3 linked regions of the Callithrix jacchus genome follow. The protein of the gene in region 3 purifies or fractionates together with the protein of the main gene of each other region. This does not show direct contact. Links are inferred from orthologs where the notes say so. Each region holds a gene or a part of one and is shown on either strand. Other genes may lie near its edges.

What was found. Proteins that work in one complex are often made in the same cells at the same time.
Region 1: the proteins of FOXO1 (region 3) and SIRT1 purify together in Homo sapiens (affinity purification with western blotting; 5 studies listed by BioGRID and IntAct, with this or other methods). This does not show direct contact. The link is inferred for Callithrix jacchus from reciprocal best matches to the Homo sapiens genes FOXO1 and SIRT1.
Region 2: the proteins of FOXO1 (region 3) and SIRT2 purify together in Homo sapiens (affinity purification with western blotting; 3 studies listed by BioGRID). This does not show direct contact. The link is inferred for Callithrix jacchus from reciprocal best matches to the Homo sapiens genes FOXO1 and SIRT2.

Annotation. Positions count from the first base shown.
Region 1 is NC_133513.1:62,526,873-62,534,666, reverse strand, and holds the start of SIRT1 (NAD-dependent protein deacetylase sirtuin-1), read left to right. Parts: upstream 1-3,126; 5' UTR 3,127-3,135; coding exon 3,136-3,583; intron 3,584-3,626; exon of another isoform or gene 3,627-3,841; intron 3,842-5,380; coding exon 5,381-5,497; intron 5,498-7,753; coding exon 7,754-7,794. UniProt on the Homo sapiens protein: NAD-dependent protein deacetylase that links transcriptional regulation directly to intracellular energetics and participates in the coordination of several separated cellular functions such as cell cycle, response to DNA damage, metabolism, apoptosis and autophagy.
Region 2 is NC_133523.1:34,457,407-34,465,192, reverse strand, and holds the start of SIRT2 (NAD-dependent protein deacetylase sirtuin-2), read left to right. Parts: upstream 1-3,118; 5' UTR 3,119-3,220; coding exon 3,221-3,236; exon of another isoform or gene 3,237-3,342; intron 3,343-4,311; coding exon 4,312-4,358; intron 4,359-7,180; exon of another isoform or gene 7,181-7,311; coding exon of another isoform or gene 7,312-7,314; intron 7,315-7,786. Other genes in the region: NFKBIB (NF-kappa-B inhibitor beta), read right to left, coding at 385-718, 801-906, 2,529-2,707. UniProt on the Homo sapiens protein: NAD-dependent protein deacetylase, which deacetylates internal lysines on histone and alpha-tubulin as well as many other proteins such as key transcription factors.
Region 3 is NC_133506.1:159,845,989-159,853,730, forward strand, and holds the start of FOXO1 (forkhead box protein O1), read right to left. Parts: upstream 4,867-7,742; 5' UTR 4,435-4,866; coding exon 3,808-4,434; intron 1-3,807. UniProt on the Homo sapiens protein: Transcription factor that is the main target of insulin signaling and regulates metabolic homeostasis in response to oxidative stress.

The sequences.
Region 1 (7,794 bases), on a different chromosome or scaffold from region 3:
CTGGAGTACAATGGCACAATCTTGACTCACTGCAACCTCCACTTCCTGGGTTCTAGTGATTCTCCTGCATCAGCCTCTTGAGTAGCTGCGATTATAGACACCTGCCATCACGCCCAGCTGATTTTTGTATTTTTAGTAGAGATGAGGTTTTGCCATGTTGGCCAGTCTGGTCTCAAACTCCTGACCCCAAGTGATTTGCCCGCCTGGGCCTCCCAACATTCTAGGATTACAGGTGTGAATTACTGTGCCTGCTAGTTCCTTACTATTTTGATGGGTAAAAACTGGTATTTTGTTGCAGGTTAACCTATGAGTGAGGTTTTACATTTTTCATGTGTTTAAAAGCCACGTGTGTCCCACTTTCTGTGAACTGAACTCTTTATTTCCAACTAGGCTACAATCTTTTTCTTACTAATTAATGAGAGTCCTTTAAAAAGGAAATATATCTTCATGATACTATATAATAGAGTTAAGTTCATTCAGTGGGTGGATTCTGATAAAAACCAGTGTGAAAATCACTCCTATGCTACTCTGCAACCTAGCTTTGGTAATAAAAGCTTGCCTCTTCATTCCCTTGGGAACGTTCCTCACTTAGAGCCTCAATCATTACCACTTGACCTATAGGGTTGAAACTTTAGATCAGTGTTTCTCAACCATGGTACTGTTGAAACTTTGGCTGGATAACTATTTGCTGTAGACAGCTATTCTCTAGATTTCTAGAACGTTTAGCAACACCCCTGGCCTCTATCCACTGGATGCCAGTAGTACATCCTTCTTGCAGGTGTGACAACCAAAAATGTCTTTGAAATGTCAAGTGTCCTCTGGGGGATGGAGGGCAAAATATCCCAGTTGAGAACCTGATCTAGGTTTGTATACTGCTGGCGGAAGTCAGGTGCATTACTAAACAGTCTATTTGCCATAGTTTGAAAATTTCACACAGCTACCCAAATGTTGTTTGATAAAGTGAAGAATACTAAGTTCTGTAGGAAAGTACACCATTTGTCTTTTTTTTTTTTTGGTGAAGTGGAGTCTTGCCCTGTCACCCTGGAGTGCAGTGGCATGATCTCAGCTTACTGAAACCTCTGCCTCCTGGGTTCAAGCAATTCTCTTGCCTCAGCCACTTGAGTAGTTGGGATTACAGGCATGCGCCACCACACCTGGCTAATATTTTGTATTTTTAGTAGAGACAGGGTTTTACCATGTTGATCAGGCTGGTCTCAAACTCCTGACCTCGTGATCTGCCCACCCTGGCCTCCCAAAGTGCTGGGATTACAGGGGTGAGCCACGACGCCCGGCCAACACTTGTCTTCTAACGTAGTGAAAAAGACAAAATAGGCAGGAGGATGCCTTGAGGTCAGGAGTTTGAGGCCAACCTGGACAACATAGCAAGACCCCATCTCGATTAAAGATTTTGATAGAAACGCTGTGCTCCAGGCAGATGCCATAACAAACACTGGCTCTAGATCTACCGTGGGTTATATGAGTCCTTAGTTATGGTTAGCTATGGAGTCACAGTGTCCCAGAATTTCAGGGAGGGAAGAAAGTAACTGGAAAGGCTTTCCAATAACGCTTTTGAACTACTAGGTACCTTTCATTTTACACTAGGTTATCTCATTTAAATCTCACCATGACCCTGCAAAATACGTATTATTACCATTTAAGACATGAGAAAAATTGTGTTTAGAAAAGGCTACATAGGTCCAGGCGTGGTGGCGCGCCTGTAATCCCAGCTATTCAGGAGGCTGAGGCAGGAAAATCGCTTGAACCTGGGAGGTGGAGGTTGCAGTGAGGCGAGATCGTGCCTCTGCACTCCAGCCTGGCGACAGAGCAAGCCCCCCCCCCACCGCCCCGTCTTAAATAAATAAATAAATAAATGGGCCAGGCGCAGTGGCTCACGCCTGTAATCCCAGCAGTTTGGGAGGCCGAGGCGGGTGGATCACAAGGTCAAGAGATCGAGACCATCCTGGTCAACATGGTGAAACCCCGTCTCTACTAAAAATACAAAAAATTAGCTGGGCATGGTGGCGCGTGCCTGTAATACCAGCTACTCAGGAGGCTGATGCAGGAGAATTGCCTGAACCCAGGAGGCGGAGATTGCGGTGAGCCGACATCGCACCATTGCACTCCAGCCTGGGTAACAAGGGCAAAACTGCGTCTCAAATAAATAAATAAATAAATAAATAAATAAACAAACGGCTACATAGATAGCTCATGCTAGAAAGGAAGGACTCCAAATTTTAACCAAGCGCAGATGTGCATGGAGGCCAAGTCCTTTTCCTTCCATACTCTCCTCATACTGACCCAACACACCCATTCTGTACGTGAGAAAACTGAGCCCCAGAGAAGGGAATTCACACACGCTTGAAGCCAAGCTGGGGCCAGAATGCAAACCAGCTGATCTCCAAACCCTCGTGTCAAAGGTCGTCTTCCCATGAGGACATATGCCTTAAAGGATCTGACAATCTATACCACCCTACAAGTGACGGAGAGGGGCAAAAACAACCGACTAAGGAGAGAAGCAAGGAGCAGAAAAAAGCTAAAGAAGAACTGTGAGAATGGTGTGCTTGTGAGGAGGGTGGGAAGGGAGCCGCCTCCTTTTGCCTCTCTTCCTACCCATTGACGAAACAGAACGGCTATCCAGCGTATTTAAGGGAGCTGAGTCTTAGCCAGCTTCATGTGTGTTTTAACCCTTAGCTAAATCTAGACAAGGCTAAGGCAGGCCAGGTGTACACTTGAGGCAGAAGTAAAAATTCCCAGTGCGGACCAAAACTGGAGTTGTTCGGGCGGTAATGATTTGAGGTCGGTTTGAAAGAGAAGCTGAGAAAGCGGCCGAGGGGCGAATTTGGCTGCACAACACGCCTGTGCCACAGAAGGGTACGGCCGCGGGCCGCCGGGGCACAGTTTCCTACCAGCTCAGGCGGAGTAGTAGACGCAGCTGCCTCCGCCCGCCACGTGACCCGTAGTGTTGTGGTCTGGCCCGCGTGGGTGGCGGGAGCGCCTAGAGGGCGGGGGTGGCGATGGGGCGGGTCACGTGACGGGGTTTAAATCTCCCGCAGCCGGAGCCGCGGGGGCGCCAGTGCCGCGCGTCAAGCGGGAGCAGAGGAGGCGACGGAGGAGGGCCAGAGAGGCAGTTGGAAGATGGCGGACGAGGCGGCCCTGGTCCTTCAGCCCGGCGGCTCCCCCTCGGCGGCGGCGGCCGAGAGGGAGGCCGCGTCCCCGCCCGCCGGGGAGCCGCTCCGCAAGAGGCCGCGGAGAGATGGTCCTGGCCCCGAGCGGAGCCCGAACGAGCTCGGTGGGACGGCCCCGGAGCGTGAGGTGCCGGCGGCGGCCGAGAGCTGCCCGGCGGCTGCGGCGGCGCTGTGGCGGGAGGCGGAGGCAGGGGCAGGGGGAGCGGCGGCGGCGGGCGGGGAACAAGAGGCCCAGGCGACGGCCGTGGCTGGGGAAGGAGACAATGGGCCGGGCCTGCAGGGCCTATCTCAGGAGCCACCGCCGGCTGACGACTTCTACGACGAAGACGACGACGACGACGACGACGAGGGCGACGAGGAGGAAGAGGCGGCGGCGGCGGCGGCGATTGGGTACCGAGGTGCGCAGGGTGCGGGCTGCCGGAACTGCGCATCCCCTCCTCCCTCTCCCGGGGATCTTCCTGGCGTGGGGTTGAGGGGGTCTCTGGGACGCGCCGGAGACTCGGGGCAGGCTCCGTGGCGTTCTCTTCCCCACCACGGCCCTCCGCTTAATTGCGCTCCTCCGGGGCTGCCGTTCCTGCTGCGGGAGCTGCGGGTGGATTCGCTTTTTCTCTGTCTGTGGCCGGCCTGGGAGGCCTTGCGCTTTGCGCAGCAGCCAGGTCGGGAGGCTCTCGCAGTCGCTTTAAAATAAGTTTTCTCTTTTCCCTCTTACTCTTTTAGCATATTGCTTTTGTTAGAGCTTTTTTTTTTCCCCCTTTTTTTTGGGGGGGGGTTGCTTTTTTCTCCCCGCCCTCCCCCCAGGACACTTAAGTCTGCAACTTTTTGCTGTCCCCGTTCGTCGGCATTTTCAATTACTTTTTGCAATCTGACACTTGTGCAATTTGCTTTTTTTTAGGGTCTATATTTTTATGCCTGAAATTACAATTTTTAAAAGAGCAAAGCTGTTTCTGTAGTCACAGCCTGCAAAATATAAAGAACATGGCTGTTCCTGAAGACATTACCATTCTGTAATGCAGTTAGTAGTGGGCATGGGAGAGTCATACTACTTTTAGAGCAGTTCGTATTACTTTTATTTTAATCTTGCTCTTGTGTACGGTGACGGTGTTGAGGCGAAGCATACTCTTTTGTATGTATGTACTGAGACACATTTAACATTGCTAGTATAATGAAGCAGATATGTTGCATTTGTCGTGTTTTTGAAGGTTTTATATTTTTCATCTGAGGAATTTCTATTTTTGAGAGGTGTTCATCTTTATCAATATTTGGGTCAGGCCGGGCGCAGTGTCTCTTTCTTGTAATCCCAGCCCTTTGGGAGGCCAAAGCGGGAGGATCTCTTGAGCCTGGAAGTTTTAGACCAGCCTGGGCAACATAGTGAGACCACCTTTCTACTAAAAATTTTTTAAAAAGATTAGCCGTGCATGGTGGTGCACAGTTGTAGTCCGAGCTACTGAGGCGGGAGGATCTCTTGAGCCCAGGAGTTCGAGGTTGCAGTGAACTATGATCGCGCCACTGCACTCCACGGTGGACAACACAGTGAGACCCTGTCTCAAAAAAAGTAATGTGTGCCTTTTTTTATTATTATTAATTTTTTTTAAAATATAGAGATGGGGTTTCATCACGTTGGTCAGTGTAGTCTCGATCTCCCGACCTCAGGTGATCCGCCCGCTTCGGCCTCCCAAAGTGCTGGGATTACAGGCGTGAGCCGCTGTGCCCGGTCAAGAGACCCTGATTTCAAGCAACACAGTTGAATGCTAATTTAATAATTGTGTTGTTAATACTGTTTATTATTTAATAGAGGAAACAATTCAGAGATACCTATGTTTAGTATTATATGAATTTAAAGTGCACTTTGCCAGTTTTATTTGAATGACATTTTTGTGTAAATTTCCATTTATTACAAGTTTCACGAACTCTATTGTTTGTGGTTGATACTTTCTATATGTTACTATCTTTTCTGTTTAAGTAGACTTAATTTATTTTTAGATTTTGGCCGAAACTTTTAGAGTCAGAGCAGAATTCCTAAATATGAAGAAACTGTACCTATGAGAAGTGCAAGCCGACCCCATAGCATTTACACATACAATATAAATGTTAAATGCTTAATGAAAATGATTACACTATAACCCTTTATGGGTCTTCATACATATTAGGTGCACATTGTTTTGGTAGTCTTGGCTGACTTTTGGTTTGTTTTGCAGATAACCTTCTGTTCGGTGATGAAATTATCACTAATGGTTTTCATTCCTGTGAAAGTGATGAGGAGGATAGAGCCTCACATGCAAGCTCTAGTGACTGGACTCCAAGGCCACGGATAGGTATGGCTCAGAGCTGTTAACTTAAGAGAGTAAATGTATGCTTTTTGTTGTTGTCCTTGTTGGTTTTTTTGAGACAGTCTCACTCTGTCGCCCAGGCTGGATGGAGTGCAGTGGTGCAATCTGCAACCTCCACTTCCTGGGTTCAAGCAATTCTCCCGCCTCAGCCTTCTGAGTAGCTGGGCTTACAGGCACCCACCCCCATGCCTGGCTAATTTTTGAGTTTTTTTTTTTTTTTTTAGTGGAGACAGGGTTTCACCATGTTGGTCAGGCTGGTCTCAAACTCCTGAATTTGTGATCCGCCCGCCTTGGCCTCCCAAAGTGCTGGGATTACAGGCATGAGCCCTTGTGCCCGGCCTTTTTTTTTTCTTCATCCAGTTAGACTGTCTTTCTCACTTACTTCATATTTCTTGTTTTTTTCACTTTTATACTTATCACTTCTCAACAAGTGCTATATCTTACATTGTATTGTTTCCTGGTCTAGAATATGTAAGTTTCACAGGAGCAGGAATTTTTTTTTTTGTTGGGGGGGGAGGGGTCACGAAGTTTTGCTCTTCTTGCCCAGGCTGTAGTGCAAGGGCGCGATCTCAGCTCACCGCAGTCTTCGCCTCCCTAGTAGCTGAAATTATAGGCATGCGCCACCACGCCCGACTAATTTTGTATTTTTAGTAGAGACGGGTTTCTCCACGTTGGTGAGCCTGGTCTCGAGCTCCCAACCTCAGGTGATGCGCCTGCGAAGCCTCCCAAAATGCTGGGATTACAGGTGTGAGTCACTGCATCTGGCCAGGGATCAGGTATTTTCGACTGACTTGTATACTGTTGTTTTGTCAGTGCCTAAAATGTGCCTGGCACATAGTTTGTGCTCAACAAATATTTAATAAACGTGAGTAAATATTTAATAAATATGTGAATGAAATGGGAAAATATTTTGTAATAGAAAGCATTTTTAGATTTTTATACCAAAGGTAATAACATAATCATCTTGAAAGTGGATCATCTTTTTTCTTTTCTTTCTTTTTTTTTTTGAGATGGAGTCTTTGTCTCTGGAATGCGGTGGCCAACCTTGGCTTACTACAACCTCTACCTTCTGGATTCAAGTGATTCTTATGCCTCAGCCTCCTGAGTAGCTAGGATTATAGGAGCATGCCACCATGCCCAGCTAATTTTTATATTTTTAATAGAGACAGTTTTGCCATGTTGGCCAGGCTGGTCTCGAACTCCTGACCTGAAGTGATCTGCCCCTCTCGGTCTCCCAAAGTGTTGGGATTACAGGTGTGAGCCACCTCTCCCAGCTGAAAGTGAATCTTTACAAATGGTTTGATTATTTAAACAGTAAAGATTAGTTTCTCTTTGGTGTCTGTAGTTTTATTTAAATATATATATATTTTTAATCAACTAGGGAGCTGATTTCAGCAATTTCAGGGTAAAAGAAAATGATTAGGCTGGGTATGGTGGCTCACGCCTGTAATCCCAGCACTTTGGGAGACTGAGGCGGGCAGATCACCAGGTCACGAGATCAAGACCATCTGGCTAACACAGTGAAACCCAGTCTCTACTAAAAGTACAAAAAAAAAATAGCCAAGCTTGATGGCACGTGCCTCTAAACCCAGCTTCTCAGGAGGCTGAGGTAGGAGAATCGATTGAACCTGGGAGTCGGGAGGTTGTGGTAAGCCGAGATCGAGCCATTGCACTCCAGCCTGGGTAGCAAGAGCGAAACTCTTGTCTCCAAAAAAAAAAAAGGAAAAGAAAATGATTAATTCTCAGAACAACAACATCGTATGTATTATCTTGCAAGATTAGTTAAGGTCAAATTGAAAAATTACCGGAAAAATAATTAAGCTGGCAGTTATGTATAGGTTTTCATTTCTTTTTCCTGTGTGGTTTTAATGGTAAGTAGTATAGGCTTTTAGGTCTGGTACGATCTTTTCTGTGTTGACTTGTAGCAGCTTTTTGTAAATACTTTTGTGTTATTGTGGTGTATGTTTCTAGATTTTAACCATAAGAACTTAATTTTGGTTGTTAGGTTCTTAAAGTATGTATTTAGAGCTCAAGGGGGTCTCCCAACTCTGATTAGATCTTCCTAGTCTCATTGGGATATAGCATTAATTATGAGTGTGTACTAAGAATGAAAGACCATTAAATTACATTTTCTTTGCAAAAAATTCTCACAGATTGCTAACTCATTACCTCAGAAAATAAATGAGATTGTGAATTATTTGACAAGTTGACTTGATCTAAGTCTTTTCCCTCTTATTGTAGGTCCATATACTTTTGTTCAGCAGCATCTTATGATTGGCACA
Region 2 (7,786 bases), on a different chromosome or scaffold from region 3:
CTGGGAACCTGGGGTGCCAGAGTTTCCCAGAGGGCCTGAGCTCTGCATTCCCTGGTCCTAGGTGGGGTAGGGATACCAGCTTGAATACACCCTGCAGGTGGGGAGCCCAAGGGCCCAGCAACTGGATCCTGGCAGCTCTGGGTCTATGAGTGCCAGGTCTGCGTCCCAAGTGATCTGGGGCCTCCAAGTGGGAATCCTGGGTCTTACATATCCAATTGTCAATCATCTGGGCCCTGAGTGGAGGTCCCTGGTCCCGATGCCTGGGTTCCTGAAGCCTAGGCGTGATTTCCCAAGGAGTTCGGTCTGGAATCAGGGAAGAGAGCCCAGGGCCAGGTGCTCTCACCTAGCCTGGGAGCTCAGTCCTTCCCTGGTGGCGACCCTCACCCTCATAGTTTTCAGCCTCCAGCTGTAGCTTCCACTCCTCCTCACTCTCCTCTTCTTCCTTCTCCAAGTCAGAATCGGGGTACAAGGTGACAGGGGTATGGTTGGTGTCGGGATTGTGGTCTGGGCCATGAGCGAGGTAGGTGTCCGGGGCTTCCCTGGGCCGCCGAGGGCGGGGCTGAAGCAGGGCACGGGCACAGGCAAGTGCCCCCACACGGCAGGCCAGGTGTAGCGCCGTGTGGCCCCCACGCTCTGCCACGCACAGCCCAGCGCCTGCTGCATACAGCTTCTCCACCGTGGATGCCTCCCCCAGGATGGCTGCCAGGTGCAGGGCCGTCTGCAGAAGCAGAGGACAGGCAGTAGGGAGTCACACTGGGAACCCCAGACCCCAACCCCTACTCCATCCCCTCGTGGCTCACCTGGCCTAGGTCATTCTGCAGGTCCATGTACTCAGTGCCGGCTGAGAAGCCTAGAAGAAAATCCAGGAAGGGTTCGTGCTGATGAATCACAGCCAAATGCAGTGCCCTGGGGACAAAGACTGGGGTCAGAGGGCAAAATTCAAGTCCTCTTGCATTCCTTCATTCAACAAACATGGGGTGGCTACTGTATGCTAGGCTTTGGGACCACAGTTCTGGAACCCACTGTCAGCTATCTGGGAGGGTCAGAGAGGTCAGAGTTTCATCAGCAAATTTGTGGAACCAACAATGTTTATTCAGTGGGATTTCCACTTCTGCCCAAAATGAAGTAACATGGACCAGACTTCCCTCCCACAAGAAACAAAGAAAAATCAGACGCAATACGGTATATGAAGCAACAGTGTTGAAGACGCTGGACGTCATGCAATGAATCACAGTGGCCCCCGAAAGACAGGAAACATGAGGTGGGCCCTACACTTGACTGCCACAGCTTATGGTCTTGAGAGCCACGGTTGAGAGAGGGGACCCCAAGCAGAGCCCATCAGGTTGTCTGAGGTCAGGAGATGGACATGGAGGAAGAGTCTGTAGAGACCAGGCTTGCAAGAGTCACAGGACAGAGTTGTTGGCCAGGCGCAGTAGCTCACACTTTGGAGTGAGCTAAGAATCAAAGACCAATTGAAAACTAAAATAAAATTAATGAAACCAAATTAATTAACAAAAATTAATAAACCTAAAGCTGGTTCTTTGGTAAGATCAGTATTTATTAACTGCTTCCTGGGACAGGCACTGCCTGCATCACTGGGCATAGGGCAGTAAACACAACAGACAAAAAAACCCAGTACAGTCCCTCATCTGGGCCTTTGCAATTGCAGTTCCTTCTGCCTGAAATGCTCTTATCTTGTTTATCTATTGCCTCATTTTCCTGCTTTATTTTTCTCCAAAGTACTGACAACCTGTGACTTTCTTTCCTTCTCTTACTTTCTGTGTCTTTCTTTCTGCATGTCTTTGTTTCTTTCTGTCTTTCTGTTTCTTTCCTTCCTTGCTGTCTTATCAATCTGTTTAGCCCCACTAAAATAAAACGTCTCCTTCACAAGGGCTTTAGTTTTTTGTCTGTTTTCTTCACTGCCTTTATCACTAGCACCTAAAACGAAGCCTGGAATGTGGTAATATGTAAAGAATATTTGTTCAACAGATGAATCCTTGGTTTCATGGAGCTTACATTCTTTTTTCTTTTTCTATTTTTCTACTTCAATTAGGAATTCAACATAGGAGAACTTACATTCTCACTCTTTTAAGACTTGAAGAACACTGCTCAGAAAACAAGATCTTAGAGTCAGGGACCAAGTATTAATTTCGGAAATCAGTCTAAGGCTCACATCAGGAACTAAGAATCAAAGATTATATTTGGAGGTTCGAAGTCAGGAGAAGCCACAGTTCTAACAAAAGCCTCAGGACTGGAGTCGGGTTTGGGTATCCGTGGACAGAATGTGGATTCCAGGAGCTGAGAATCATAGTTCAAGAAAGGAAGGTCTGAAATGATTGGGTTAGCATCACAGCTGGATAGAAGATTGGTTTTGTTAAAAGTTAGGACTCAGGGGTTACAGGTCAGGAAGTTCAGCATCGGAAATCAGATTTAGGAGTAGGAGGTTAGGAAGCCTCAGGGATCAGAAACTAATGGGGAATCAGACGCCGGGTCCTAGGGCTCCGTTTGGCAACCTAAGGTTCACTCACGTGTCCCCATCCTCAGTGACGTAGCCGAAGACAAGGGGCGCCCACGACAGCCCCGGGCCCAGCTCTGCGACCAAGCCCGGTCCTCCGGGGGCCGCTGCGTCCGGACCCAGGGAGCCCAGGCCGCTGTCGCACCATTCATCTGCGTCGGCAGCTTTTCCCAAGCACGCGACCCCAGCCATGGCCCCCGCCACCTCAGGGGCCCCCCGCAGTCGCTTGCCTGGAGCTGGGCTTTGCCGGCAGTTCTGGCGCTTCCGCCCTGCGGGAAATTCCCCACCACGCCCCCTAATTCATCCAATGATAATATGCTGAATCGCTCGCGCCCTACCCTGGTACCATATCGTGACCAATCAGAGTATTTGGGAGGACTACGACTCACTAGCCGTTTTTACATTTTCCGGGCGCCCTTTACCAACATGGCTGCTGACGCCGCGCCTTCTGGGACTCGAAGTCCGGCCCTAGCGCGCTTTCTTACCTAAGTCTGGGGCGCTCTGGCTGTCGTACGAAAGCGCGGCTTCTGCCGCAATGGCTACTGGGAGTTGTAGTTCTAAGCCCTATCCCGGCCACTCCCATTTCTGGTGCCGTCACGGGACAGAGCAGTCGGTGACAGGACAGAGCAGTCGGTGACGGGACACAGTGGTTGGTGACGGGACAGAGCGATCGGTGACAGCCACGAGGGCTTCAGCACCGTGCCCATGGCAGAGCCAGACCGTGAGTCGGGGACCCGGGTGGGAGGGTCGGGCCGCGCCGGGGCCTAGCTGAAGGCTGCAGGCCCCGGGGCCCGAGGGCGGCCGCTGCGGGGCGGGAAGTAGGGAGCGCTTCGGATAGTGGGATTCTGAGGGTTGTTGCTAAGCGATCTGTATCGCTAGGCTGGTGGGTTTCTGGGTCGCAGGTTGTTCGGGGTTGGTTTATCACATCCGCTTGCCAAGTTGCCAATAATGGCGTGTTTTTCGTATCTTGGTTGCTGAGGACCCTCGCTGCAAAGAACCTAAGTTGCCGCGGTCCCTGTTGCTAAGGGTACCTAATTGTTAGAGGCAACCGGAGGATGCTGAGGGACCCCTGTTGTCCCCTCCTATGGCTTCCCTTCGTATCCGCGCCTCTCCCAAACCTACCGCCTCCACTGCACCACTGCACCTCCCTCCCAGACCTGCCTCCCAGCCGAAGCGTCCCCTCCCTTCTCCCTTCCTTTCTAAACTTCCCTCTGCCTTGTAAACCTAACCCTCCCGCACACACACTCACACTGCTGCGTCCTTCCTAACTCCTCCTGAGTGTTCCTTCATGCCCTGAATCCCCTAGGCAGGAGGAAGGAGGATCGCTTGAGCCCAGGAGTTTGAGGCTGCAGTGAGCTATGATCGCACCATTGCACTCCAGCCTGGGTGACATGAGCCAGGCCCTTTCTCTAAAAAGTAAAAGACAAAGAAAGTCAGGGCCAGACACAATGGCTCATGCCTGTAATCCCAGTACTTTGGGAGGCCAAGGTGGTTGGATCGATTGAGCCCAGGAGTTCAAGACCAGCCTGGGCAAAAGCCCCTACTTCTCCCTGTCCTCCTAAATCTTCCTCCCCAGCCTCTCTGCCCCTCACTAATCACCTCCCCGGGCACCACTTTGCATGCGGATAAGATATTTTCTCCCATCCCCTCTTTCCCTCTGCTCCAATTTTACCACCACCCCGTCCCAGTGTAACTAGGTTGGTGGGTGTTCTTGCCCCCTCACTGACAATTTGAACCCTTGTGTTCCCCCCTTAATCGTTCTCCCTACTGTAACCACCTCTGCTCCCCTCCCCCAGCCTCTCACCCTCTGGAGACCCAGGCAGGGAAGGTGCAGGAGGCTCAGGTGAGATGGGGGAAATGGTGGAGGGGAGGAGAGACATGGACTTGTTCCACATCCCATGCTGGGGGGAGGTGGCAAAGGAGAGACAGTCACCCCAGGGCCCTTGGCTCATTGTCCCAATCCTCACGCCACCCAGGGCAGCTTTATGGGGACAGGCAGATTCTGGGGATTGTCACAGAAGAGTTTGCAGTCTCGAGTCCAGGCTTGCCCTCCCAAACTCTCCTCCTTCCTTGCCACTGCCTCCCATCCCTTCTAAACCAAATTTGTCCTGGGCCTGGAAGAGACAGGTGTCCCATTTGGTCTTGGAACACACAGATCTCATGGACAAGTAATGGGAAAAATGATCCGACAGCCTGATGATGAAAGGAACTCAGGGTACGGGCGGGGGAGGCAGGTGCAGTGGCTTATACCTGTAATCCTAATAACTCAGGAGGCTAAGGCATGAGGGTCACTTGAGTCCAGGAGTTTGAGGCTGCAGTGAGCTATGATTGCATAGTGACACTCCACCCTGGGTAAAAGAGCAAGACCCTTTCTCTAAGAAGTAAAAAAGAAAGAAAGAAAGTAACTCAGGGCCCGACACAGTGGCTCATGCTTGTAATTCCATTACTTTGCGAGGCTAGGGTAGGAGGATCGCTTGAGCCCGGGAGTTTCAGACCAGTCTGGCCAACATAGGTGGCCCCCATCTCTATAAAAAATTTAGAAATTAGCCATGTGTAGTGTTTCATGCCTGTAGTGCCAGCTACTCAGGAGGCTGAGTGGGGGGAGGATTGCTTAAGCCCAGGAGGTTGAGGCCGTGGTGTGCCATGATTGTGACATTACACTCCAACCTGGGTGACAGAGCAAGACCCTGTCTCAAAAAAAAAAAAAAAAGGAATAAAAAGAAAGAAACTCAGGGCACTGTGGGAGCACAGAGAAAAGTTTCTGGGTCAAAGAAGATTCCAGCCAGACCAGTCCCTGGAGGAGTCTGCAGGCTGGTCTAGCCATCAGACACAGCATAAGTGAAGAGTGACTTAGAATTTTCTTAGACAAGGTGAGAAATGGTGGTTCACACAGCAGGTACAGCTTGTGCAAAGACCTGACCTGGGGGCATGAAGGAGTGTAATGGTGTGTTCCGTAATTGGGCAGCTGGTGGTGGTCAGCTTGTGATAGTCGTGGTTAGCGTTGACTGACAGCTTACTTAGGCTGGGCACTGTTTAGTGACAAATGTGCCTCATCTCATTTCATCTTCCTGGCATCCCTGTGAAGAGAAATGCCTATCATGGCCATTTTACAGTTGCAGAATTTGAGGCAGAGTTGTTAAGTCACTTATCCTCTGTCCCTAGGTGACAGGAGTAAGGAAGGGTTTGAGACCGGGCATGGTGGCTCACGCCTGTAATCCCAGCACTTTGGGAGGCCAAGGCGGGCAGATCACTTGAGGTCAAGAGATTGTGACCATCCTGGCCCACATGGTGAAACCCCGTCTCTACTGAAAAATACAAAGCTTGTAGTCCCAGCTACTCAAGAAGCTGTGAGGCAGGAGAATTGCTTGAACCTGGGAGGCGGAGGTTGCAGTGTGCCAAGATCGCTCCACTGCATTCCAGCCTGGTACCTGGTGGCAGAAAGAGACTCTGTCTCAAAAAAATAAAAATAAAAATAAAAAAAGGAAGAGTTTGAGTCCCCCAGCACTGGGTGCACTGCCTGCCAGCAGCTGCCAGGAGAGGTGGGCAGGCAGTCTCATGGGAGCCTGAAGGCACCTGCCAGCACCTCCAGCTCTCCCTTAGGCCAAGCTGCAGGGACATGCTGGGCACAGGCCCTCCACAGAGCCTCACTGTGTACAGCCTGAAAGAGTGCCAGCCCACCCACACCCCCGAGATTGCCTTTCAGATGTGGGGTGGTGCAGAAGTGGGCATCAGAATACTTCACAAATGCACAGTGGAGCCATGCTGAGGGTATAACAGCCTCCTGTTAGACTGTGGCAAGTCACTCGCCTGGCCCCCAAAGCACCACCACTGTCAGAGAAAAAGGTTGAATGTGAAAAAGGAGCCTCAGTCCCAAAGAGAGAGATGTAAAATGCAGCATTGTCCGTCACAGGGCCAAACTGGAAACAGTCCAAATGGCTGTCAGTGGATGGGTTAAATGAACTATGGTTCATCCATACAACCTAAATCTATGCAGCTGCTGTGAAGAATGAGGTGAGGCCAGGCACGGTGTCTCACACCTGTAATCCCAGCACTTTGGGAGGCAGGAGGATCACTTGAGCCCAGGAATTCGAGAACGGCCTGGGCAACATAACAAGATACTGTCTCTCTTTTTTTTTTTTTTTCGAGACAGAGTCTTGCTCTGTTGCCCCGGTTGGAATACAATGGCATACTCTCGGCTCACTGCAACCTCTGCCTCCTGGGTTCAAGAGACTTTTCTGCCTCAGCTTCCCAAGTAGCTGGGATTACAGGTGCGTGGAACCACTTCTGGCTAATTTTTTGTTTTTTAGTAGAAATGTGGTTTCACCACGTTGGTCAGGCTGGTCTTGAACTCCTGACCTTGTGATCCTCCCGCCTCTGCCTCCCAAAGTTCTGGGATTACTGACTAGCACCGCGCCTGGCCCACTGTCTCTTTTTTAAAAAAAATTTTTTTCTTTTTGAAATTGCATTTGACCCAGCAAAAAAAAATTTTTTTAATGGGATGGGCCTGTAGTATATTGTTCTGCAGAAAACTCAAGATCTTGCATCATTCTGTGACCTATTTCTGTAACAATAATTACTTTTATACAGAGAAAACTGGAGTAATTACCATTAGGCATAGTTAACAATGGTTATCTTTTTTTTTCTTTTTTTCTTTTTTTTTTTAAGACGGGGTTTCACCATGTTGGTCAGGCTGGTCCTCAACGCCCAACGTTAGGTGATCCGCCTGCCTTGGCCTCCAAAGTGCTTGGATTACAGGCGTGAGCCACCTCACCCGGCCAACAATCGTTATCTTTATAATGGTGAGCTTGGGCAATTACAAGGCAAATGCCCCCCTTGCTGAAGTATACACGAGTATGGTCAAGGTTTTGCAGAGGTTGTCCAATCTCTCTTTCTCTTTGTCTCTCTGTCTCTCGTTCTCTCTCTCTTTAAATAGAGACAGAGTCTCACTGTATTACCTAGGCTGGTCTTGAACTCCTGGCCCCAAGCAGTCGTCCTGCCTCAGCCTCGCAGAGTGTTGGAATTACAGGCATGAGCCGCCGTGCCCAGCCTAGGTTGTGCAATCTTAAAAAGCAATTTAAAAAATTGTCCTGTGTTTGGAAGGGAGGGTCTTATTCAAAAAAGTCTGGACATAAGGCAGTGAGTGGCCGGCGAAGGGGGTTGTTTGAGGGGGTGGCTTGGTCCGAACTGCATTTTGGTAAAATCCATGGCAGGGCCCAGCTGTGGCCCAGCCTGGAGCAGGCATTCATTCCGTGGTGGAGGGTTCTGGTGCTC
Region 3 (7,742 bases):
TTTCTAACGGGACTTCTGTGGCTGGTTAAATTACTCACCTACAGATCATACCCAAATTACAGAATATTTACTTTAAAATATAAGAAAATCCACTCTCAGTTCCTAGGCCAAATATAAGAAATGTAACTCCAAATTAAAAATTTATCTTAAAGATAAAAAGCTTTGGAGCCAGGCACTGCAACTTTGGGAGGCCAAGGTGGGCGGATCACAAGGTCAGGAGTTTGAGACCATCCTGGCCAACATGGTGAAACCCTGTCTCTACTAAAAATTAAAAAATTAGCTAGGCGTAGTGGCACTCGCCTGTAGTCCCAGCTACTCGGGAGGCTGAGGCAGGAGAATCGCTTTCATCAGGGAGGCCAAGGGTGCAGTGAGCTGAGATTGTGCCACTGCACTCTAGCCTGGGCGACAGAGGGAGACTCTGTCTCAAAAAAAAAAAAAAAAAAAAAAGATTAAAAGCTTTATCTTCAATTAAAATCAAAGAGGTATCCTCTAGTGAAACAATTTCTGTATCCAGAGTTAAGTGGCATCAAGTCATTCTTTTAACCTAAGCAGTGTTCCAAATAATATCAAAACAAAAGAGTCAACTCAAAACTGCCATTTATTTTAAAATTCGGAGTTCACAATACCACTTCCCAAGTTTTAGAAGGCTTTCTATGTGAGAAAACAGGTCATGAAAATGAAGTTTCACTATTTATAAATACTGCACTAGATTTAGAAGATCCCAGGTTTTCCCAAAAGCCTTAGGTTCCACCTTGTGTGTGACTTTATGGCAATTCTAGCCAATATTAAAACAAGTGTAAGACATTTAACATATCATCCCCACAAACACAAAATGCATATCCTTCAAATATAACCAGCACTTAACTATCTAAAGAATGACATTAAAAGTTTTTGAATTCATTAACAGCTTCCTAACTAGTCTGTCCTATGCAAATGACTCAAACTTTCAGGCAGTCCCCAGGAAGTAGCACACAAGAAACTATTTAAGATTCAGCCTAATTCCCAGTAGTAAATCACAGGAAATATTTTGTTCCAAAGCAACTTCTCGGTCCTAAAACAGGTAAGTTTTGGTTGATTTGCATTTAAAAACTGGATTTAAGTTAAAAGTCATAATAAAATTTCTCTTTTATGAATCTTAGAACAGGAATCTTTCAGATCTGAGCGAAACTTGGTTTTAACAAGTAACTCGTTTTTATGAAACTCTAACCAGAAGATTAGTTATGAGTTAGAACAGCTCAGGTTGTTTCTTTTCTTCTTAAAATACTCTTTTACTCAAACTGAAAAAGCACTTGCTGTAATCCGACTTAAATCAACCGACCGTACACCTGAAACATTTACTCATTTGAGAAGCAGCCTGACTCCAGAGCAAAGCCCCATTAGGCTCCCCCTGGGAGCCGCCCGCCGGCCTCCAATTCTAGACAGTTAGTCCTTAACAGGTCTCCTAGCTCTGGCAATTCAAAAAAACAAAAATAAAAACACTAAATTATTCTCCCATTTAAAAAAAAAAAAAAATGAGAACAAGAACCTGGTAAAATGGTTGCAAAGATGATTTAACATCAGAATCTATTTTTTAAAAACCTAAATCTTAAAAAGTATAAGTTATATTCCCAGTTCAAGACTAACACGCTGACAACGCCATTTGAGTCGCAAAACTAAAAATATCCCAAACACTGCCTTTATCTTTCAAGAAAGGCACTCCAGCAAGTTGAAGTAGGTTGTATCCATTTCCAAGGACTAAAGAATGGTGTAAGTATACACTACTTTGAATGCAAAAAAAAAGGGGGGGGGCGGGATTTTATTTAATGGCTAATACTCTGTAACAGCTGAGATAGAATTGATAGATGAGCAAGTAAGTCAAGTACTTAAATTCAAATGTTAAGTAAAACAAGACTTGGCAGACAATTTCGATTTTGTGACTTAAAAGAACATATGCTGAGCTTAAAGATAAGAAGGCACTTTACCTTTTTCAAACACTCGGTAAAATTGCATGTAATGCCTGGTAATGAAGCGATAAGTGATACCTTTACTCTAAAACATACTTTGGAAAAAATAAAATGCATCTTGAACTCCTCCAGGAGCTTCAATACGGTGTGAGTAACTTAACCTTTTTGACACGCTTTAACCACAGGGACGACACTATGTAAAATAACCTTGGTTTAACAACTGCGCAGCAAACACCAATCTTTATTATGCTATACAGTCGACAAGAGAGGCGAGGAAAGTTTGTTTTAAAAGGTGTTTAGCTCGGCCGGGCGCAGTGGCTCACGCCTGTTATCCCCAACATTTTGGGAGGCCGAGGTGGGCGGATCACGAAGTCAGGAGATCGAGACCATTCTGGTCAACATGGTAAAACGCCGTCTCTACTAAAAATACAAAAATTAGCTGGGCGTGGTGGTTCCTGCCTGTAATCCCGGCTACTCGGAAGGCTGAGGCAGAGAATCGCGTGAACCAGGGAGTCGGAGGTTGCAGTGAGCCAAGATCGCACCACTGCACTCCAGCCTGGCGACAGAGCGAGACTCCGTCTCAAAAAACAGTGTTTACTCAACTAGTCAGCCTTTACAGCAGTTCTGCCACCGGTGACAGTGAGAAACTGTCAGCTTGGGGAGGCCGCGCGGCGACTGGACCTCGCCCCCGGGAAGCCTCCCCGGACCTAGCCGAGGCCCTCCTCGGAGTCGGTAAGTGCCTGCCCCCACGCTGAAGTGCCTCCTGGCCACGTTCTGAAAGGCAAAAATCCTCCTTCCAGGCTCCGCTCCCTCAACGCGCACCGCCACTCCGACTCCGTCAAAACACTGGTCGCAAAGCCCCTCGTCTGGCCCCCAGCTCCCCCATCTGGACCTCCCCGCTCAAGAATAGGGTAGAGCAAGGCAGGAAAAGACGCACACATCCCAGCCCCCGGCACCCCAGGGCAGCCTCTGTGTTTCTAACTAAAAGCCTCGTACCAGGGGCAAGACCAGATTCGGGCGCTTCCCCCATGGGGAAGCGCGGGCCCCAAGGCGCCCGACCCGGACGCGCTGGCCCTTTAAAGGCACTAGCTTCCTGCGCCCAGAGCCCCTCCCTCGTCACCGCCCGCGCCCGCCCCCGCCGAGGGTCACACTTGAACTTTAGCTCGCCCCGCGCGGCCGGGCGCCGGCGCTCCGCAGGCGGTGGCCGCCCCTTCGCACGTGTCGGAGGCGCCACCTCGGGATCGGGACGCCCGGCCCCCTGAACTCGAGGCCACTCCGGAGAAAACCAAAACAAAGCAAAATGCGCACCGCCTCCCGAAACTGCGTGGCCGGACTTACACCGTCCCCAGCCGATCGCGCTCTGCCAGTCCCCTCCACCTGCAGCCCCGTCCCGGGGCAGGGAGGCTCCGGGGACCCTTTCCGTGCCCTCCCCCGCCGCGCCCGGCGGAAACAGCCTCGCGGCGCGGCGGGAGAGGACCCGCCCTCGCCCCGCGGAGGTCAAGGAGGGAAGGGGCAGCCGAAGCAGTCAGCGCGGGCCGTGGGGGTGCCGCTCCCAGCGAACCCCTTTCTCCTTTCACTGGCAAACTTTTCGGCCGCTCTGACGTCCACTTCTTGACGCACGTTCTTTACTTAGTTCCCCAACGAACCCCTGTCCGCGTCCCACGCGGACTCTGGCGCGCGCGCACACCTACTGCGGTCCCGGACGGACCCGGGCGAGCCCACTGCGACCACCGATTCGCGCCCGCCCTCCTAGGCACGCGCTGCCCTCCTGCCCCGCACCCTCGGGCCGAGCAAACCTGCACAGCTGCGCCCTCGCCTGCCCCACCGCGCCCCCAAGGTCCGGCCGCGCGCCGAGGCCGCTCACCTTCCAGCCCGCGGAGCTGTTGCTGTCACCCTTATCCTTGAAGTAGGGCACGCTCTTGACCATCCACTCGTAGATCTGCGACAGCGTGAGCCGCTTCTCCGCCGAACTCTCGATGGCCTTGGTGATGAGGTCAGCGTAGGACAGGTTGCCCCACGCGTTGCGGCGGGACGAGCTGCTCTTGCGCGGCTGTCCCGCGAGCGGCCCGGCGGCGGCGGGGGGCACTGGTGGGTGCTGCGGCAGCGGCCCGGGCGGCGGGGGCTGCGGCGGCGCTGGGTGCAGGCAGCCCGCCTCCGGGCCCTGGAAGTCCCCGCACAGTCCCCCGGCGGCGGCCACGGCAGCCGCCGCCACCGCCGCCGCCACGGAGCCGGGCGCCTGCGGGAAGTCCTCGTTCTCCTCCAGCAGGCTCAGGTTGCTCATGAACTCAGCGCTGACAGCGGCCGCCGAGGCCGAGGGCAGGCCCGCCGCGGCGTCGGGATTGGCAGCCGCGCCGCCCGACGGCGCCGGGCTGGAGGTGGCCGAACTGGACTGGCTAAACTCCGGCCTGGGCAGCGGCCAGGTGCACGAGCGCGGCCGGGGCAGCGGCTCGAAGTCCGGGTCGATCTCCACCACCTGGGGCGCTTCGGCCATGGTGACCCCCGCCCCTCCCCCAGCCGCGAGAGAGCCGAGAGGGGAAGAGCGCAGCACCGGGGGCAGAGGGCGAGGGGGCGCGAAGAGACGGTCCGGGATTTGGGGGGACGAAGCCGGTGCGCCGAGCGGACGGACACTGGGAGGAAGGCGCGGCGGGGTGCAGGCGCGAGCCCAGAACTTAACTTCGCGGGGCCATCCACATCCAGGCTCCTCGGGGTCTGCCGCACGGACTGGACGGCGGGCCGGAGCCGCCGAGCCGGGGCACAGCCTGCGCCGCGCTCCCGCTGACAGGGCCGCGGACGGAAGGACGGACGGACGCCGCGGCCGCTCGCTTTGCCCGGCGGCGCGCCCGCTGCGCTGCTGCCTGTTGAATGTGGCGGCGGCGGCGGCGGCGGCTGCAGCAACTACGAGGCCGCCCGACTTACGGGATCTGCCGCCGCCCCCCGCCCGCGGCGACGCGCGCGCCGGCCCGCCCCTGACCGACAGTTCGCGCAGCCAATGGGCACGCGGCACCGCCGCCCGGGCAGCCAGTGCGCTCCGGGCTGGGCGGGGCCCGGTTTTCCGCCGGGAGGCGGCAGTGGGCTGGTGGGGGTAGCGGGGTGTTTTTCTCTTTCACACACCTTTTTTATTTTTTTTGGATCTCTGTTATTTTCTGGTAATTCTCGAGTGTTTCTGTGATTCTCTCGCCTTCTCAGTGTTTTGATTGCTAGGAAGCAAACCAGCGTGGAGGTGGCGGCGACACTTTGTTTACTACGGAGCTGCAGAGCCGAGTACTCTGGAAGCCCGGGTGGGACGAGGCGCTCGCTACGCCCTGACCTCGGCTGCGGGCCGAGTCCCGCGAGCGGGCAGGGCCGGGGGCCGGGGGCGCGGGGTGGACGGGCGGAGGCGGCCGCGCAGAATTCTACCCAGTAGCTCCCTCCTGGCTCCACCCACGAAGTCTTTGCTGAGCAACGTGGGGAATCGCTGGGTTTTGTTTTGGTTGAATGTTTTCTTTCGCTGCGATCTGTCAAGTCCTCCGGCCCCCGCACGGGCGGCACGCGCCCCCCGCCCCAGGCGCCGCGGCCCCCCGCGGTGGAGTCCGCGCCTAGGGTGCCTTCTCCGCGCCCCGCGCCCACCTGTCCGCACCCCCGGGCTCAGCCTGTGCCTTTCTGTCTAGCTGCGGACGCGTCGCCCAGCCGAGCAGCCCCCAGCCGGATTTACTGTATCCTTGACCTTTTTTAAAGGGCTAAACGTGAGGAACTGGGACTCCGGCGCCCGGAGGAGGTACTCCGGTCTCAGTGCAGACAGGGATCCAAAGGCACCCGCAACCGCCTGCCCTCCGTGGGAACTTCTTCCCCTGGGCGGGAACTTCCAGCTTCGTCCACTGAGTTCAGGGCCCGCAGCGAAGGGCTTAGGAACGCAGTTATCGAGAACCAAGACACTTTACTACCTACCCCTAATTAAATTTAACTGTTTGTTATTTTATATTTACAACGGAAGTGATCGGGTGTTAAGTAAAAACGGCGGGGGGGGGCGGGGGATAGGACCAAAGCCTTGGGGCGCAGCCTGCCCCACCCCCAAGTTCTTGAGGCTACTTGCTGTGTGCGTCAGTCAAACCCCCACCCACACCCCATCTTTCCTCATCTGGGCTGCAGGTCCAGGACATCCTGTCAAGGATCAGTGGGGCCAAAGGTAGGAAGATAATGGCCCTTGTGTCTCAGGGAGCAGAAGAAACAGTTTTCCAGTTTTGTTTTGTTATGCCTTTGCTTTTTTAGGAAGAATATGGAAGGCATTTCCTTTTAGAGGGATGGGACCACTCAGAATAGAAGATGGACAGTAAGGTTTTTAATATCTTGCCCAAAAGGACAGCTTCCAACTCTTAAAAAAAAAAAAAAATCCCCTTTCTTTCTTACAAGTAATTCTGCTATAGAAAAAGTAGCATCTAGGCGGGGCGCGGTGGCCCACGTCCATAATCCCAGCACTTTGGGAGGCCGACGCGGGTGGATCACGAAGTCAAGAGATCGAGACCATCCTGACCAACATGGTAAAACCCCATGTCTACTAAAAATACAAAAATTAGCTGGGGGTGGTGACACGGGCCTGTAGTCCCAGCTACTCGGGAGGCTGAGGCAGAATTGCCTGAACCCAGGAGGCGGAGGTTGCGGTGAGCCGAGATCGCGACATTGCACTCCAGCCTGGGTAACGAGGGAAACTCCGTCTAAAAAAAAGAAAGAAAGAAAGAATAGCATCTAGAGAAAATTAAGTCTGTTGGACGAGAGATTGTTGGAAAAAAAAGGAGAAAATGAAAAAATTAGGCCTTTTAACTTTTTACAAAAGTTAAAAAGATTTAGAGAGCGATCTGTTTCTTCTTTTATATTCTTCCTATCCTCTCTCTAGTCCGGGCCCCAGTTTCTTCATGATCCATTTATCACTACAGCTTCTTAATGATACTAGGAATGGGTGGGGTGGGGAGCCTGAGCCGGATGGATTGGGGACGGGTGGAGACTGGTTCCCACCCTTGCCTAGTGGTCTCTTCACGTTTACTGTCAAATTTGGACAGTCTGGGCCTCCTCTGCCAGCCGCTAGGGGACCTCAGTAACCCAGATGATGCGCTCCAAGGCAGGCCCCAAAGTACAGCTGTTGCTTCCCCCAACCTTTCCAGTTACACTCCGCAGAAGCAGTCCCCGATCCAGACAGCCGCACCCTAAAAATAGGCGGTGCCGGAGTGGATCATTCTTGGCAAAGAAAGCCAGCTTCAAATTTGGCCTTGCCTTCATTTCTATTCCGGTTTTTCAGGGCGTCAATCAGAGAAGAATATTTATTTGGTTAAGGGAGTCTTCCTACAGACTTTCCCCAAATCCTTGAAATCTTTGAGGCTCTCCCACCCAGTTGTGTTTCTTCAAATGTTATAGTTTGGTTTTATTTGGTCTTTAAAAAAAAAAGAAAGAAAGAAAAATTGAAGAGGCAGGCACAGAGAACGTATAGCACCAATGTCCCTGACACATAGGTCCAAAAAATATATATTGAAGGGTTTTTACAGCTAACTACCACACCGTTGTATCTAAGTATCAATTTCCTGAACCCCAGGATGTTGGTGAATATGTGACTTGTTTCCAGTCTTGAGCTATCACAGACTATTCTGTAAGAAATAACCTTGCGTAACTTCATTTCACATCTCTAAAAGTGTATCTACAGGAGGAATTTCCAGAAATGGGAGTCACTGGGTCAGCAGGTGACCCATGCATGATTTTGAAAGGCACAGCCAAATTGCCCTTCATCAGGGTTATATCAAGCTAAACTTTCTTTTCCATTAGACCCACAGAATGTTA